3 linked regions of the Danio rerio genome follow. The protein of the gene in region 1 purifies or fractionates together with the protein of each later gene. This does not show direct contact. Links are inferred from orthologs where the notes say so. Each region holds a gene or a part of one and is shown on either strand. Other genes may lie near its edges.

Region 1 (5,112 bases):
TTCAATTAATTTATTTCCTTAAAATTCTACACACAATACCCTATAATGACAATGTGAAAAATATGTATATTTTTTAAATTGTTAAAAATGTATTAAAAATAAAAAAAATAAAAAATCACATGTACAGAAGTATTGACAGCCTTTGCCGTGAAGCTCTAAATTGAGCTCAGGTACATTCTGTTTCCACTGATCATTCTTGAGATGTTTCAGCAGCTTGATTGGAGTTCATCTGTGGTAAATTCAGTTGATACACCTGTTTATATGAGGTCCCAGAGTTGACAGTGCATGTCAAAGCACAAACCAAGCATAAAGAAAAAGGAATTGTCTGTAGACCTCTGAGACAGGATTGTCTCAAGGCACAAGGCTGGGGAAGGTTACAGAAAACAGTTCTGCTGCTCTGAAAGTTCTAATGAGCACAGTAGACATAAGTGGAAAATATTTGTAACCACCAGGACATCCTGAATGAAACCTGCTTCAGAGTACTCTTGACCTAAGACTGGGGCGACGGCTCATCTTGCAGCTGGACAATGACCCAAAGCACACCGCCAAAATATCAATGGAGTGGCTACACAACAACTCGGTGAATGTCCTTGAGTGGCCCAATCAGAGCCCAGAACTAAATCCAATTAAACATCTCTGGAGAGATCTGAAAACTAATCCTTTCAGAAATCAGAATGAAAAGGTTTTGTTCCTTGATAATGTTACTGTCTATTTGGAATAATATGCTGTTGTATTCCCTATAATTATTATTCACTAAGAAAGTCAGTCCCGCACAGACCACTATAAGAAAGTCAGTCCCGCACAGACCACTATAAACACTATGGGAAATATGTCCCTGGCATGTAACACTGCTGACTTTAATGGCAATATATTGTACTATTTGTAATAAGTGGCATTTAAAATGTTGGCGAACTAAGTCATTTTTACAGGGTTTTTATTTGTTCGTTTGTTCTGTTTTTTTATGGGGTTTTTTGTGCAGTAAAATGTTCTTGGAGCTTCATTGAATGTTGGTTCATTGTATGTCTTGGGATCACTGCTGTCTATGGATGACCAGAGAGCAGTCATCTAAAATATCTTAATCTGTGTTCTGAAGATGTCTTGAGGGGTTGAAACCAGAAAGGTGAGTAATTTATAACAGATTTTTTTAACCCTTTCAGAAATCAGAATGAAAAGGTTTTGTTCCTTGAAAGTGTTACTGTATTTGGATTATTATGCTGTTGTAGGCCCTATAATCATTATTTAAACAACAATAAATGGTCAATAAGTTACAATATCACATTTTTTTAAAGAATTTTGTTTTAAATTTTATATGGCATACACCAATATGATTATCTGCAGTTCCTGTGATGATGACTAAAAAGTTTTTTTTATTAAATAAAAAAATTGAGGACGCAGGAATTAATCCATTCATTTGTTTTATTTTGCTTTCAATCGCAGCTTAACGTTATGTCCTTTTTCTAAGGGTCAGATCGCGCCACAGCAGAAAAAAACTTGTATTTATTCATTTATTTATTTATTTACGGTGTTGCCCTTAAGTGGAATTTTAAGGGAGAAAAGTCACATACCTACATCTTGGTGTGCATTTACCGCAGAAAGCGAGAAAGCAGTTTTGTAACTTGGTAACTGCCCCTTTAACGTTCCATGTGAATGCAAATGAACGGGATGGAAATGAGACAAGAACGCTCTCGGTTTGGGTGTTGGCAACGCGGAAGGATGGTAGAAAACCACCAATGATCCCTTATGGGTGGGGTTTACTCGAGGGTGAAGGGGTACTAGTATTTTATAGTAAAATACTAGTAAGAATAGAAAGTCAGCTGCTGCTGTCTGCCGGTTGAATGTTTATTTTTCGTCGAGTTGGAATGTGTCAGTTTTGAGGTCGTTGAGTGAATTAATTCGACTTCCTAAAGGTAAGCACGTGCGATTTTTTTAGAACAGCTGTGTCTGGATTATTCCTCATTTGAGCGCACTTTTTGATGCTGTGAACTATTTTTAAGTTGCTTTATAAATCGTCTCTGTATTGTCGTGTCTGTGATGCACATGCTTGGCTGCTGTCCATTTAAGGGCTGATGCAACGCTGGACGGTGAGAGATAAGGAGTTACCGCGTAAATACGTATGCGAATAGATGATGGTTAACTAGTGTGAATCTGTTCAATCTAGTTTAATGTGTTAGGGATTATCCAGTCTTTGTTTCAGCATTAAAATCGTTGACGTGGAAAGCTGGCACGTCCTTGTACAGAGCGCGTGTGATTCATTGTGCTCTAACTTAGACTTGAAAAAGAGCAGAATGTATGAGCAAACCTCAAACAAAACCATTACGAGCAGAAACACTGGTTTGCGAAAATGCCCACTATTGCGTTAAATTATTCATTCATTCATTTTCTTTTCGGCTTATCCCTTTATTCATCTCGCCATAGCGGAATGAACCGCCAACTTATCTAGCATATGTTTTACGCCGGGAATGCCCTTCCAGCTGCAACCCATCATTGGGAAATGCATTAAATTAACGTTTTTCTAATGTTTTTTAACTGGTTGCTGCAGTTATACATTCACTGATCTGTAACGTTAGCTCTTCTGTCACGGCACGGGCTTTATGATTCCAGACCAAAGTTTTAGATTCAATTCTTTTGATTCAGAGGAACCGAGTCGCAATTTCCAAATAATATTACACATCTAAAGGATAATATAGGCTATCAAACAAGTTTTAATACAAATTCTTCATATGCATATTTATTTATATTCACATAGTATGAGGGTTTCGAATTTTTTTTAACTGTGTTTGAAATAAAAAATAAGATGTTTTTAAACTGTAGCCAATTTAAAATCAATCTATGTAATGTAAGTGCAAAATAAACATTTTGTTTTATGTATGGTTAATTTATATGCATTTGATGGTTAATTATATGGGTCATTAATTGAAAACAGTACAGAACAACAACATGCATGCGAGCGTATAAATGAACGAATCATTTTTCACTGTTTAATAAACTGAACCTTTCAAAAGAACCGATTTGCTAAATGAATCAAATTTCTGAATGTACAAGCGTAGTGAGGCGCCACGCGCATGGGACAGTCCGCATTGTTGCTGTTTTAGACGGGGGGTTGCGCTTTATTATGACGTCAAAATGCGGGAAATTTGTTTCGTTTTCATGCATACCCCCAAACTCGTCTCAGCGCAAAATAATTATTTTCATAAAACAAATACCCCATTAATTTGAATCGTATACAAGCAAAGAAACGGCTGAGGTTCAAGGTGACTTGATACGTTTTGTTTTAATGAAAAAAAATAACGAGGATTGTTTCATTCATTAGCAAAATAAGCTTATCACAAAACAGCTTAGTATATGTAATGCGTAACTTGCCTCCATAATGTGCATAGCAGAACCAGTATTTACTGATTACTACGCGATAATACCAACACTCCTTTGTAATATCCATATTAATAATAAACATTCAATTATTCAGCATTATTAGAATCTTTACTCTGAAAAGTTTAAGAATGCACCTGGAAAGTGTTTGAAATGTGCTTCGAAGGTGTAACTTATGTTTATTGTCAGGTACTCTATTCTTTATGTGTGAAGAAAAGCATTGAATAATAGTTATGAGTAGATTAATGAAACTGAAAGTTGAGTACACATTGAAGCCAAAATATATAATGCAGATGCATATCAGTTTAAAATGTGTGCTTCTACACAAGTATGAGCTTTTTTTTTTTTTATTAACAAACTGAAACATTTACATTACATTACATGCCAGGGATCAAAACAGAAATGTATCTTTTAAACAGATTCACAGTTTTTACAGCTTTTTTGTTAGTACATTCGGAAATCAAAGACATATAAAGATTTAGATCTTTAAGAAAAATCTGAAAGAAAGGTTTATGCTTACAAAATTTACACTTGTGTATCCGCTTGTTAAGTGGTGACGTGTTGTGACGTATGTATACTGTTTCCGGGTCCAAGCCGCCGTTCATTTGAGTGGAGAAATCTTTCGTTTATGATCGCGTTTTATTCCTATCACACATTAAAGTTAATTTTACATAAAGTCATAGTGTACACAACAATCTCTGGGTTTGCTGCATAACAAATACCACAATTTTAACAATTTATAAAACAATGAATCATTTTCTGGCCATTGGATATTAGGCATGGACATATATATTGCGATCATGACTTTCGAAAGTATTAAATCGCTTTGTAAACGTTTATAATTACCATTTCATGAATCTCCCTATTCAGTTGAATAGAGCGCTTGGACCCAGAAGCCGCTCCACGTGACGTCACACTTAACAAGCGGATATTATTATGCATGTGCAGCACCAGTGTAGTATGACTTTTTAATTTTTTTTGCTATTTCTGCACAGAATTTTGTAAAAAGAATTTTTTGTAAAAAAAAATAAACAAATAAAAATCTGTGGATTTATGCAGAATGATGGTTGTATCATAACTAAAAACTATATGAAATTAAAAGAAATAATAGTGTTTTAACTTTTATTTAATGTTTTTAGTGCAAATCGAATTAGATCCACTTAATTGGTGAGCAAAGCAAGTCTCTCATAATATATTTACTAAAAAACACAAAATATCACTTTACAAACTGTATTGTAAATAAATCATATAACCATTTTCATGTTTGTCAATATTACTGAAATTAAAAACTGAATAAATATAAATTTATACGTTATATATTTACTCAAGTTAAATGATGGGCTAAAGATGTGTGTAAATCTGCGTATTTCTGCACGTGCAGATTCCGAGTGGCCCTAATTATGCCTAAAAAAACAATGAAACATACTACATAATAGATTAATGTTGCAATTTTGCTCATTAAATTCTTAATGCTCATCTTAAATTGTTAAAATACTGGTTTTAACCATTAAATAATATATTTTTAATGCAATAAATAAACACCATTAAATCAAGATGTTTACTTGAGATGAAAAATTAAAAAGTTATTTTTAAATTAAAATTATGTTGTATGGAAATGACATTTACATTTTTCTTCTGTGCCTGTAAGCAAATATTGTTTGTGTTTTAATATGAGAAGTAGGGATGCACCAATACCAGCATGGTTTCCGTTACATTCATTCTGCCATGGTGGGGTGCCACACCAAA
Region 2 (5,237 bases), on another chromosome or scaffold:
ATCTCATCATTTGTATGTGCAAATAGGCTATCTTATTTATTAGTGCAGTAAAGATAAGACCTACTGTTACAGTCACAGAAAAAAATGAAATCAGTTTTCATTGAAAGAGGCGATATAACTGTACTGCATTATTAATAAAACACGGTATACAAAAGGCAAAGTGTGTGACGCACGCACATAAACCGTGTAGTATGAATCCAGCCATTATTCTGTAGAAGACATTTAGGTGCCAAATGTTGTCATTTCATAGCTTTTCTATTAAACAAACGTTATCTTCCTCCAGGGGGCGCCCTGTGGCTCAAAATATTTGAGTCATTGGTAATAAATTGGGCAAAAAACGCATAAAATAAATATATATTTTACAATCATTTAATACAATGCTCATCCACACTGATAAAGGCTATTATAGTTTTTAGTAAATACTATAGCATTTTTGAACCATACAGTAGAATTAAAATGACAGTAATTATTATTATATATATTAGATAATAATAATTAGATTTTATGTAAAATTATCATTTTAATTCTACTGTATGGTTAAAAAAAAAAAAAAATATATATATATATATATATATATATATATATATATATATTTTTTTTTTTTTTTTTTTTTTTTTTTTTGAAACCATACAGTAGAATTGTTTCACTGGCCACTTTATTAGGTACACCTAGAATCAAGTTGGACCCCTTTTGCCTTCAGAACTGACTTAATCCTTCATGGCATAGATTCAACAAGATTGAATTGCTCCAAAATTTCTGTCCATATTGACATGAAAGCATTTCACGATTTGTAGACTGCACATCCATGATACAAATTTCCAGTTCCACCACATCCCAAAAGTGCCCTATTGGATTGAGGTGACTGTGAAGGCCATTTGAGTACAGTGAACTCATTGTCATGTTTAAGAAACCAGTCTGAGATGATTCGCACTTTATCACATGGCTTGTTATTCTGCTGGAAGTAGCCATCAGAAGATGGGTTCACTGTGGTCATAAAGGGATGGACATGGTCAGCAACAATACTAATAACAATACTAATGTGACCAAAGTGTGTTAAGAAAATACACCATTACACCACCACCACCAGCCTCAACCGTTGACACAAGGCAGGATGGATCCAAGCTTTCATTTTGTTGATGCCAAATTCTGACTATCTGAATGTCGCAGCAGAAATCGAGAGCCATCAGGCCATGAAATGTTTTTTCAATCTTCTATTGTCCAATTTTGGTGAGCCTTTGTGAATTGTAGCCTCAGTTTCCTTTTCTTAGCTGTCAGGAGTGGCACACGGTGTGGTCTTCTGCTGCTGTAGCCCATCTGCCACAAGGTTGGACGTGTTGTGCATTCAGAGATGCTCTTCTGCAGACCTCGGTTGTAACGAGTGGTTATTTGAGTTACTGTTGCCTTTCTATCAGCTGGAACCAGCCTAACCATTCTCCTCTGACCCCTGGCATCAACAAGGCATTTGCGCCCACAGAACTGCCGCTCAATGGATATTATCTCTTTTCGCACCATTCTCTGTAAACCCAGATTGTTGTGCGTGAAAATCCCAGTAGATCAGCAGTTTCTGAAATACTCAGACCAGCCGGTCTGGCACCAACAAACGTGCCATATACAGAGTCACTTAAATCACCTTTCTTTTCCTATAATGATGCTCGGTTTGAACTGCTGCAGATCGTCTTAACTGTGTCTACAAAATACAGGTGTACCTAATAAAGTGTATATACACACTGTATTACTACTGTGGCATTCATTAACAAAGTTATAAACAAGCTATACTATGTATAATACACTTGAATATAGTAGGCTAGGCTGTTTCACTGCCAAAACCCAAAAGTAACACATGACAGCTGTAATGGTCCAGCGTGATTCTAGTCATATTATCTAGTCAATAATTTGCACATTATAGAAATAATAATAATAACATTAACATTAAGCGACATTAACAAAGCAAATAAAAGAAATAAGTTAAAGTAGACCCGTCAAAACAGAAATCTAAGCTCCGCCTATTAGTGTTACCGCTATGATCGTGTGTTTCCTTTCTATTCATTTCGATTTCTGTGAGAGGAGCAGCGCATCGCCGCCGCATCTGAGCATCACAGTTACAGGTATGCGATTCATTCTCACTCTTTACGTATTGAAACCGTTCGCTTTGTTGACATTCGTGCAAGCATATTTACATAATTTCAGACGTACATAATTAGTCCTTGTTTTATTGCAGCGACAGGCCTGCTGAGCCATTACCGACGTGAAATGTGTTGCGTTGCGTACGCAGTAGCCTACATTTTCTGTATTTGTTTCAGGTTTATTCATTTACGTGTTTTATCTACTGCTATTTTCAGAAATGTGTAACCTGTACATAAAATAAGTCGTTTATTTATATTTAATGCGCGAACACAGTTAACCTAAAGTGAATGTGATTTATGGCATCTGATCATGCAGCTGTTGTTTTTCAGTCATCATGTCTTACGGAATGATGGACAGCAGCCACTCACAGTCACAGCCGAGAGATTTCAACAACCTCACGCAGACATGCAGCTCAAACATCCAGAAAATCACACAAAACAGTAAGTAGATATATTGCAGACACACTTTAAGTGATCGTTTAAATGAAATGCGTGCAATTACACTGCAAAAAATGCCTTTCTTGCTTAGATTTTTTGTCTTGTTTCTAGTCTAAATATCTAAAATTTATTATGTCAAGAAGCATTTTCTAGACAAGCTAACCATATTGTCTTGAGAAATAATATGCCAATATTAGGTGAGTTTTTCCTTAAAACAAGCAAAATAATCTGCCAATGGGGTAAGCAAATTAATCTTGTTTTTTCTTTTGACGTAAGATTATTTTGTTTACCCCATTGGCAGATTATTTTGCTTGTATTAAGGAAAAACTCACTTAATATTGGAATATTATTTCTCAATACAAGACAATATGCTTTGCTTGTCTAGAAAATTATTCTTAAATTAGGAATTTTTTAGCTATTTGGACTAGAAACATGACAAAAGATCTAAGTAAGAAAAGCATTTTTTTGCAGTGTAAACAGTTTACTGACCCTGAAGACACCTTTCTTCTTTTAGACAAGCACAAAAACAATGACACAAAGTAATTTTCTGGCTTGATTTTTTTTTCTACACATACACATCAATTTTAAAAAAATAATCCACATGACGACTCCATGGGTAAAGATGGTTTCTGTAGTGAAGGAATTAGTTTTTGTCAGAAAAATATCCACATTTAATGCTTTTCCAGTTTGCACATTCTCAAGGGAAGTAGCCTATGTATGATAAGCCTAACCCTTACTGTAAATTATTCCCAAAATCAGAGGGGATTAATATACTGATGTAGATTTGTATAACCCTAAATGTAAGCCTAAACTTAAACATAACTGTAAACGTATTCCTTAAATCTAATTGGCTGATTGGAAACACAGATATTGATCCAGAAACATGTTACTCGATGAAATAGTGTAAATCTTAAATTAGAATTTTGGCAGTTTTGGATATCCTGTACATTTGTATTATTATTTATATTAAAATTATCCATGTTTATGTCCTACTTCATATGTGATAGCTTGGCTCTTACTGTATGTCAATACAGATTTTTTTCCCCTTAGAGAGCATTGAATAACACGCTGTAGTGATATGGATTATTTTTATGGAAATCTTAAACTGGGGCAGCATCAAATCCTATAAAAAATATGGGAAGTTTTTTTTTTTTAATAACTCTGTGTTTGTCTGAAATAGAAAGGCATGTTGTACAGTACATCTAGGATGGCTTCAAGATGAGTAAATTATGAATTATGTTTTTCACTTGGCGAAGAGTTCCTTAAAGAAAAGATTGCATTATCTGTTAAATCTTTAACTATTTAGTTTGAATAGGTATTAATGGGCAGTTCATTGCGCTGTGGCGACCCCGTATTGTTAAAGGGACTAAGTGGAAAAGCAAGGCAGGGCAAGTTTATTTATATAGCACATTTCATACACAGAGGCAATTATAAGTGTTTTACATAAACAGGAATAAAAGAAACAAGAGTAAGAAAATAAAAACAAATAATAAGAATTATAAAAATACGAATAAAAATAAATAAAACAGATAAAAATGTGTTAAAATATGTTATAAGATAATGAAAAAGAAAAGAAAAGCATAATAGTGCGATCTGTCGACGCAGCACAGTGCTCATTCAGTAAGGGCACAGCTAAACAGATGTGTTTTCAGTCTTGATTTGAATGTGCCTAATGTTGGAGCACATCTGATCATTTCTGGAAGCTGATTCCAGCAGCGGGGGGCATAGTGGCTGAAGGCGGATTCACCCTGCTTTGACTGAGCTCTCGGAACTTCTAGTTTATATGATCCTAAAGATCTGAGTGATCTGTTAGGTTTGTATTCAGTGAGCATATATGAAATGTATTGAGGTCCTAGGCCATTTAGTGATTTATAGACCAGTAACAATACTTTAAAGTCTATTCTGAATGTAACTGGGAGCTAGTGTAGAGACCTGAGGACAGGTGTGATGTGCTCTGATTTTCTGGTTCTGATCAGAATCCTGGCTGCAACATTTTGGATGAGCTGCAACTGTCTCACTGTCTTTTTGGGAAGGCCAGTGAGGAGTCCATTACAGTAATCCACCCTGCTGCTGATAAAAGCATGAAGAAGTTACTTCACTGGAAACAAAGCATTCTGATTCTTGCAATGTTTTTGAGATGATAGTATGCTGATTTACTTACTGCTTTGACATGACTATTGAAACTCAGATCTGACTCCAGAGTCACACCAAGATTCTTGATCTTATTTTTTGTCGTTTGACCTTTAGTGCCAAGGTACGCATTCACCTTGAGAACCTCATCTCCGTTCCCAAACGCAATGACTTCAGTTTTCTCTTTGTTCAACTGAAGAAAGTTTTGGCACATCCAAGTGTTAATTGGAAAAGAAAATAAATGAATGAATAAAATGCATTAAATTATAAATGCATTTATGTGTGTGTGTGTATATAATTTACCTTTTATAATGTCTCACATTTTCTGTGCATAGCTGGCCAAATCAAGAGCATGCTGTTCCAACTTGGCACGAGACCAGACACACCTGAACTTCAGGACAGACTGTGAGTGCCGTTATTTTCATCACATCAGAGCCACAAGAGGGGGAGGGGGGTGTTGGTGTACAGGTCTATGTGGTTTATAGCTACACTAAGTTGTTCAATGACTAAAGGCCGGTATACATCAAGTCGACACCAAACAACTAG
Region 3 (5,173 bases), on another chromosome or scaffold:
AAAGACGTTTAGATTTGTATTATTCGCAAATGATGGCAGTAGAGCATCAATCTGCTTCTCTTATTTTGTTCTTATATGTTATGTGGTTAATTTGCTGAATTCAACTATGACTGTTTTATAAGCAAATAATGAATTATGCCATATTGTTTTTCTTTGTTTACATGAGAAAATTAAATTTTTCGTGTTAAATAAAAAGTTATATAAAGCTAACATGGAATATTATCTTTCATAAGATCACATTCTTAAGAGGATATTTCACCCGAAAATAAGAATTCTGTCATCACTGTGTGCGTTTCTGTTTATGTTACCTTGCCAGTTCCACGCCACCCAATCCGCTCCAAGCTAGTATCGAACCGGCGACCTTCCGCATGGGATTCGATTGCTCTAACAAGGAGGCTTAAAACCGCAAAGCGCAGAGCTATAAAAAAAAATCTAATTGTTGGGTTTGTATGTGTTTACATGCTAATCAGTAAACTAAAATGGTACTTTGAAAGACTTTTCACTATAATGCTCTTCTGGGAAGCAAAAACTTCTTCATGTCATCACTTTAAAATCTCCAGTTTTGGTTCTTCCTGTCAAATCTATTTTTAGGTTTATGATTTCCAGCTTTCGATTTTCTTTTCTTTCTTTATACAATTACTGATCTGATATCCGTTAAAACTCGCAATTCTGACTTCAAAACTCAGATTCTTTTTGCCCCCTACTGAGTGATGCACCCATGTGGATATGTAAGCCCGTTTTCGCCACTGAGTAATTTTTTTGAAGTAGTTATTGCATTCAGAATTTTAATAATAATTCCTTAACTTTATATAGCACTTTTCTGGACACTCAAAGCACTTTACACATTTTTTGGGGGGTGGGGGAATCTCCTCATCCACCACCATTGTGCAGCATCCACCAGAATGACGGCAGCCATATTGCACCAGAATACACACCAGCTGATTGGTGGAGTGGAGATAGAGTTATGATGCCATGATGGACAGAGGCTAGTAGGCAGCTTTGGCCAGGATGCCGAGGTTAACCCCTGCTCTTTTTTTTCAAAGGACATCCTGGGATTTTTAACGACCACAGAGAGTCAGGTTTAACATCTCATCTGAAAGACAGGACTCACTGACAGTATATTAATGTACCGGCGTGTTAGGAGACATACAGACAGCAGGTTGAGCTGGTCTCCCTAACACACTTGTGGCAATAACCTACAGTTGCTTTCCCATGTGGTATCCCATCCAGGAACTGACCTGGCGCAGCCCTGCTCAACCATGAGAGTTGCAGAGGGCTAGCTGCCGGCAATGCTAATTATAGCTGGCTTTATAACTCTTATGTAATAGCTTTATATAATTGTGACATATATCTCAGAATGCTGTCTTTATATCGCACAATTGCAACTTTATATTTCAGATTTCTGACAAAACCTGTAATTGTGAAGTATATCTCAAAATTCTTGCTTTATTTATTTACTCAGAATTGTGACATTTTATATCTCTGAATTGTGACTTTATCCTAGAATTCTGACTTCATAACTCTAAATTGTAACTTAATCTCTGAATTGTAACTTAGAGTTCTGACTTTATGACTTATATGTGAAAATTATGTCTTTATATCACACAGTTGTGACTTTATGTCTGAGAATTCTGACTTTATAACTCGAAATTTTGATTTTAAATCTCAGAAATCTGAAACAAAAAGCGGGAAAAGATAAAAACTGTTATTCTCTGGCGGAAATTGGCTTCCTTAAATAGCCTCAGTCGTGTCGCTCAGTAGGGGGCAGTAAGAGCCTTGACGGATTTGTCAGACATCCGCAAACTGATAGAGAAGAAGAAAACGGTAAAGTCATATACAGCGACATCGCCCCACACTGATCTCTAAACATAACCAGAGTTTATCCATATAGCATAGATATACACAGCATCTCTCAGCGTCCATCAATATTCTGCTCTGAAAGTTATTTGTGGAAGTTGGCTGGCGTGAAATGTGACTTTCAATGGAAACTCCCTCTTATCTGTTGTGAGTTTTGCAAGTTTATGGTCAGGAGACAGATGAGCTACACCTCTTAAAAACGGGAACATTTCATCTGAGCTGGCCATAAAATACATCGAAAATGCGGGACCGGACCAAAGAACTGGGCAATGTGAGTAATTTCAGGGCAGTGCACGCAGGAAACCGGCTAACTGGCTAACGGGCTAATGTTATTCAGCGGATGTAACTACTGTCACCACTGGCTCGACTGCGATTTATTAACTCCTTCAAGGATTGTAACGAGTCACAATCTATAGTTGTGTGGCTTATTTTCTTGTGTTGGAAAAATATATGGTTAAAGTCCACGAACGGTAGGCTAACACCCTCTTGCAGCACCAGCGCTCTTGGGTAAACGGGGTGTAACTTTATTTAGCCTACAAATAAATACAGCTGCCATGAATGGTTGCATTTGAATATTGATTTTAGTTTTTCTCACAAGAAAGTTAAGCGTTGAATTGGTACTTAACTTTTAGTTGTATTATTATTAATACACTGTCATTCGCTCGGCAATAAAGGTTTATTATCATCCGTTTGTTTTTTCACGTAATTGTGTTGTTGCAGTTTCTTCTGTGGGACTACATTTGCCTTTCGACAAACAAATACCTTTAAATGTCCCAAAGAGAGTCACAAAGGGTTAATTTCACAAAGTTTTTACACTAAATGTTGCACATACTGAAAAATATGAATCTCCTGTATATGGTTTTTACTTCGTTTTCCTGTAAAAGCAAAAAAACTATAATGTTAATAAATTCACACACAATAAAACACACTATCTGTCATGTTAACGTGTTTTTCCTTAAAGCTACTTTTTGTGTAATCCTAAATTAATTAAATTCAAATATATATTTTTCATAAAACATGTCAAGTAAATGTAAAATATATCTTGATTTAAGACTTTCACACATTTGCAAAACGACGAATATAGTGGAAGATGTTTTTTGTAATGTGATGAGAAGAGTAACATTTTTAATGGCTATTCAGTTTTGACTTTTTTTTGTAAGTTTAGAAATAACAGATCTGTTTACTTTTTTTTAAACTTTGAGGTATTATTTAAAATAGATATTTTGCTAACCTTATTTACCTTTATCTAAGCTGCAGAAACACTGTCTTGCACTTTGTATGGTGGTAATATTTTTAAAATATGATAACATACAATATAAAAATTTATTAATAACAATATTCTTAACTATATTCAGTGTCGTATTGTGTACTCTTTTACTAGACTGCTGATGCCTCAGATGAAGATGAAGAAACCGTAGCTCTAATGATAAAGCCTGGATCTGGAACCTCAGCAAATGAAGACAAAGAAAATGAAGCTTTCTTTAAAAAGGTCATTGTAGCACGATTGCTCTCATTTTAACTGCAACTTTCAATACTTTTATGCACTAGTTTTAGGGATCTGTACAGAAGTAGCATGTTGTTTCTGTAATTAATGATTTTTGAACTGAAGTGTGTATTGTTGGTTCTTGTATAATATAATTTAGAAATCCTGCAATTCTGAACTGTGATTTTCTACACTGCAGGTTTCTCACAAATACTGATTAGTACGGTGGCTGAGAGCGCTCAAATGTACTGCACCAACAAAAAACACCAATAAAAAAGCATTTTTTATCAATTATTAATGCAAAAAATGTACAAACAACAAGGAACCTTACGACCAGGACATTAAAATAACCATCAGACAGCAACCCTGACAGGCTCTAAACAGGAAGTAGCTGGGTTTGTCTCTTTTGGGGTTCCCTGACACATTTCTGTCATGTGCTCTTTGCATATGTGCATGTGTTGTGAGAATTTGCTTACACATATTGTCAAACGAATGAACACATTTTCTTAGTTTGGTTTTTCTATATGCATATCTTAGCTTACAGTACATTTGAGCTCTCTCTCCACCACCGTAGATTAGGAACATGCACATGCAAACAGTAATAAAGGAATGAAGCTGTTTAGTGTTTGTGCAAACTTCATGTAATGTCAAACATTACACATAAATTACATTTGGGTCACTTGAATTCCATAACATTTGTGCTTGGAAAGTTTGCATTGAAACTTGACATAAAAATATATTTTCTTTTTTCTATGTAGGTTCAGGAGATTCGAGAGGGACTTGAAACTCTTAAGAGAAAGGTTTCCGAATTGGAGAACAAGCAGAAAACAGTGCTAGGAGTTGCACTTCCAGAGGACAGTAAGTAATTTAGCTTTCACTTGGGTTTTTTATTATTCATTTACATAATCTTATGTTGTGTGTGTGTATTAATTAATAATTATGAAGAGAGTAAGTTAAAGGATAGTGAGTGAATGAGTAAATTATATTTTTCTTTGAGCACAGGTATGAAAAAGGAACTGCAGTCACTCAGAGAAGACATCAAAGGGATGGCCAGCCAGATCCAAAAGAAATTAAAAAGTGAGACTGATAAATAAAATTTTATAAATGAAGCTTTTTTTTTGACAATCAAACTTTTCTGCTCAACCTAACAAATGTGAAAAATTAATCACTTCATTTACATCATAGGTCTTGAACCTAAGAAATTGGAAGTTGAAGAAAAATATATCCCAGTGAATGTAAGAATGAGGAGAACTCAGGTCAGTTGCTTTTATATTTCATGTTTTAATAAATAATTAAACTTAAACAGTGTTGTTTTGCCTGAGAATAATCTGATCTTGTATGTCTCCTCATCATTTTTTGAAAGCATGGTGTTTTGTCCCGTGAATTCCTGGAACTGATGGGTCGCTGTAATACAATTCAAGCCCAATACAGAGACCGAAATGTGGAGAGGATTAAAAGACAACTCAAAATCAGTATGTGCTTATTCTGCTGTGCTTTTTTTCATTGATCTTATTAGCATTCTTACAAAGCCATCTTTTTAATGCACTGTAAGGCCTGGGACACACCAAGCCAATGGTCTGCTGTTGGACTTTGTCTGTCCGTTGATCAGGCTAGTTGGTTTGGTGTATTCTACGTGTCGACTCTCGCCGGGTTAACATTGTTCAATGGCCTGATTCAGTGTCTAGAATCGATGTCAGACCATAAGCTGAAGAGAGTACACTGACTGGTTATTCAGGAACGAATCAGAGCACGCGTGTGACATAGATAAGTCGTCTCCTTGGAATTATAAGGTTCTATCTGCATTCTGAATGATTTTGAAATATTGAACTTCAA

The links.
Region 2: the proteins of slc7a1b (region 1) and stx12l purify together in Homo sapiens (co-immunoprecipitation; 3 studies listed by BioGRID and IntAct, counting the BioPlex papers as one, with this or other methods). This does not show direct contact. The link is inferred for Danio rerio from reciprocal best matches to the Homo sapiens genes SLC7A1 and STX12.
Region 3: the proteins of slc7a1b (region 1) and stx4 purify together in Homo sapiens (co-immunoprecipitation; 3 studies listed by BioGRID and IntAct, counting the BioPlex papers as one, with this or other methods). This does not show direct contact. The link is inferred for Danio rerio from reciprocal best matches to the Homo sapiens genes SLC7A1 and STX4.

Annotation. Positions count from the first base shown.
Region 1 is NC_133190.1:8,444,883-8,449,994, reverse strand, and holds the start of slc7a1b (high affinity cationic amino acid transporter 1b), read left to right. Parts: upstream 1-1,798; 5' UTR 1,799-1,907; exon of another isoform or gene 1,908-2,081; intron 2,082-5,112. UniProt on the Homo sapiens protein: High-affinity, low capacity permease involved in the transport of the cationic amino acids (arginine, lysine and ornithine) in non-hepatic tissues.
Region 2 is NC_133191.1:7,958,629-7,963,865, forward strand, and holds the start of stx12l (syntaxin-12), read left to right. Parts: upstream 1-2,008; 5' UTR 2,009-2,020; coding exon 2,021-2,105; intron 2,106-2,453; coding exon 2,454-2,564; intron 2,565-5,026; coding exon 5,027-5,096; intron 5,097-5,237. UniProt on the Homo sapiens protein: SNARE promoting fusion of transport vesicles with target membranes. Together with SNARE STX6, promotes movement of vesicles from endosomes to the cell membrane, and may therefore function in the endocytic recycling pathway.
Region 3 is NC_133187.1:22,373,529-22,378,701, forward strand, and holds the start of stx4 (syntaxin-4), read left to right. Parts: upstream 1-1,944; 5' UTR 1,945-2,098; coding exon 2,099-2,128; intron 2,129-3,238; coding exon 3,239-3,346; intron 3,347-4,098; coding exon 4,099-4,198; intron 4,199-4,342; coding exon 4,343-4,417; intron 4,418-4,525; coding exon 4,526-4,596; intron 4,597-4,703; coding exon 4,704-4,812; intron 4,813-5,173. UniProt on the Homo sapiens protein: Plasma membrane t-SNARE that mediates docking of transport vesicles. Necessary for the translocation of SLC2A4 from intracellular vesicles to the plasma membrane.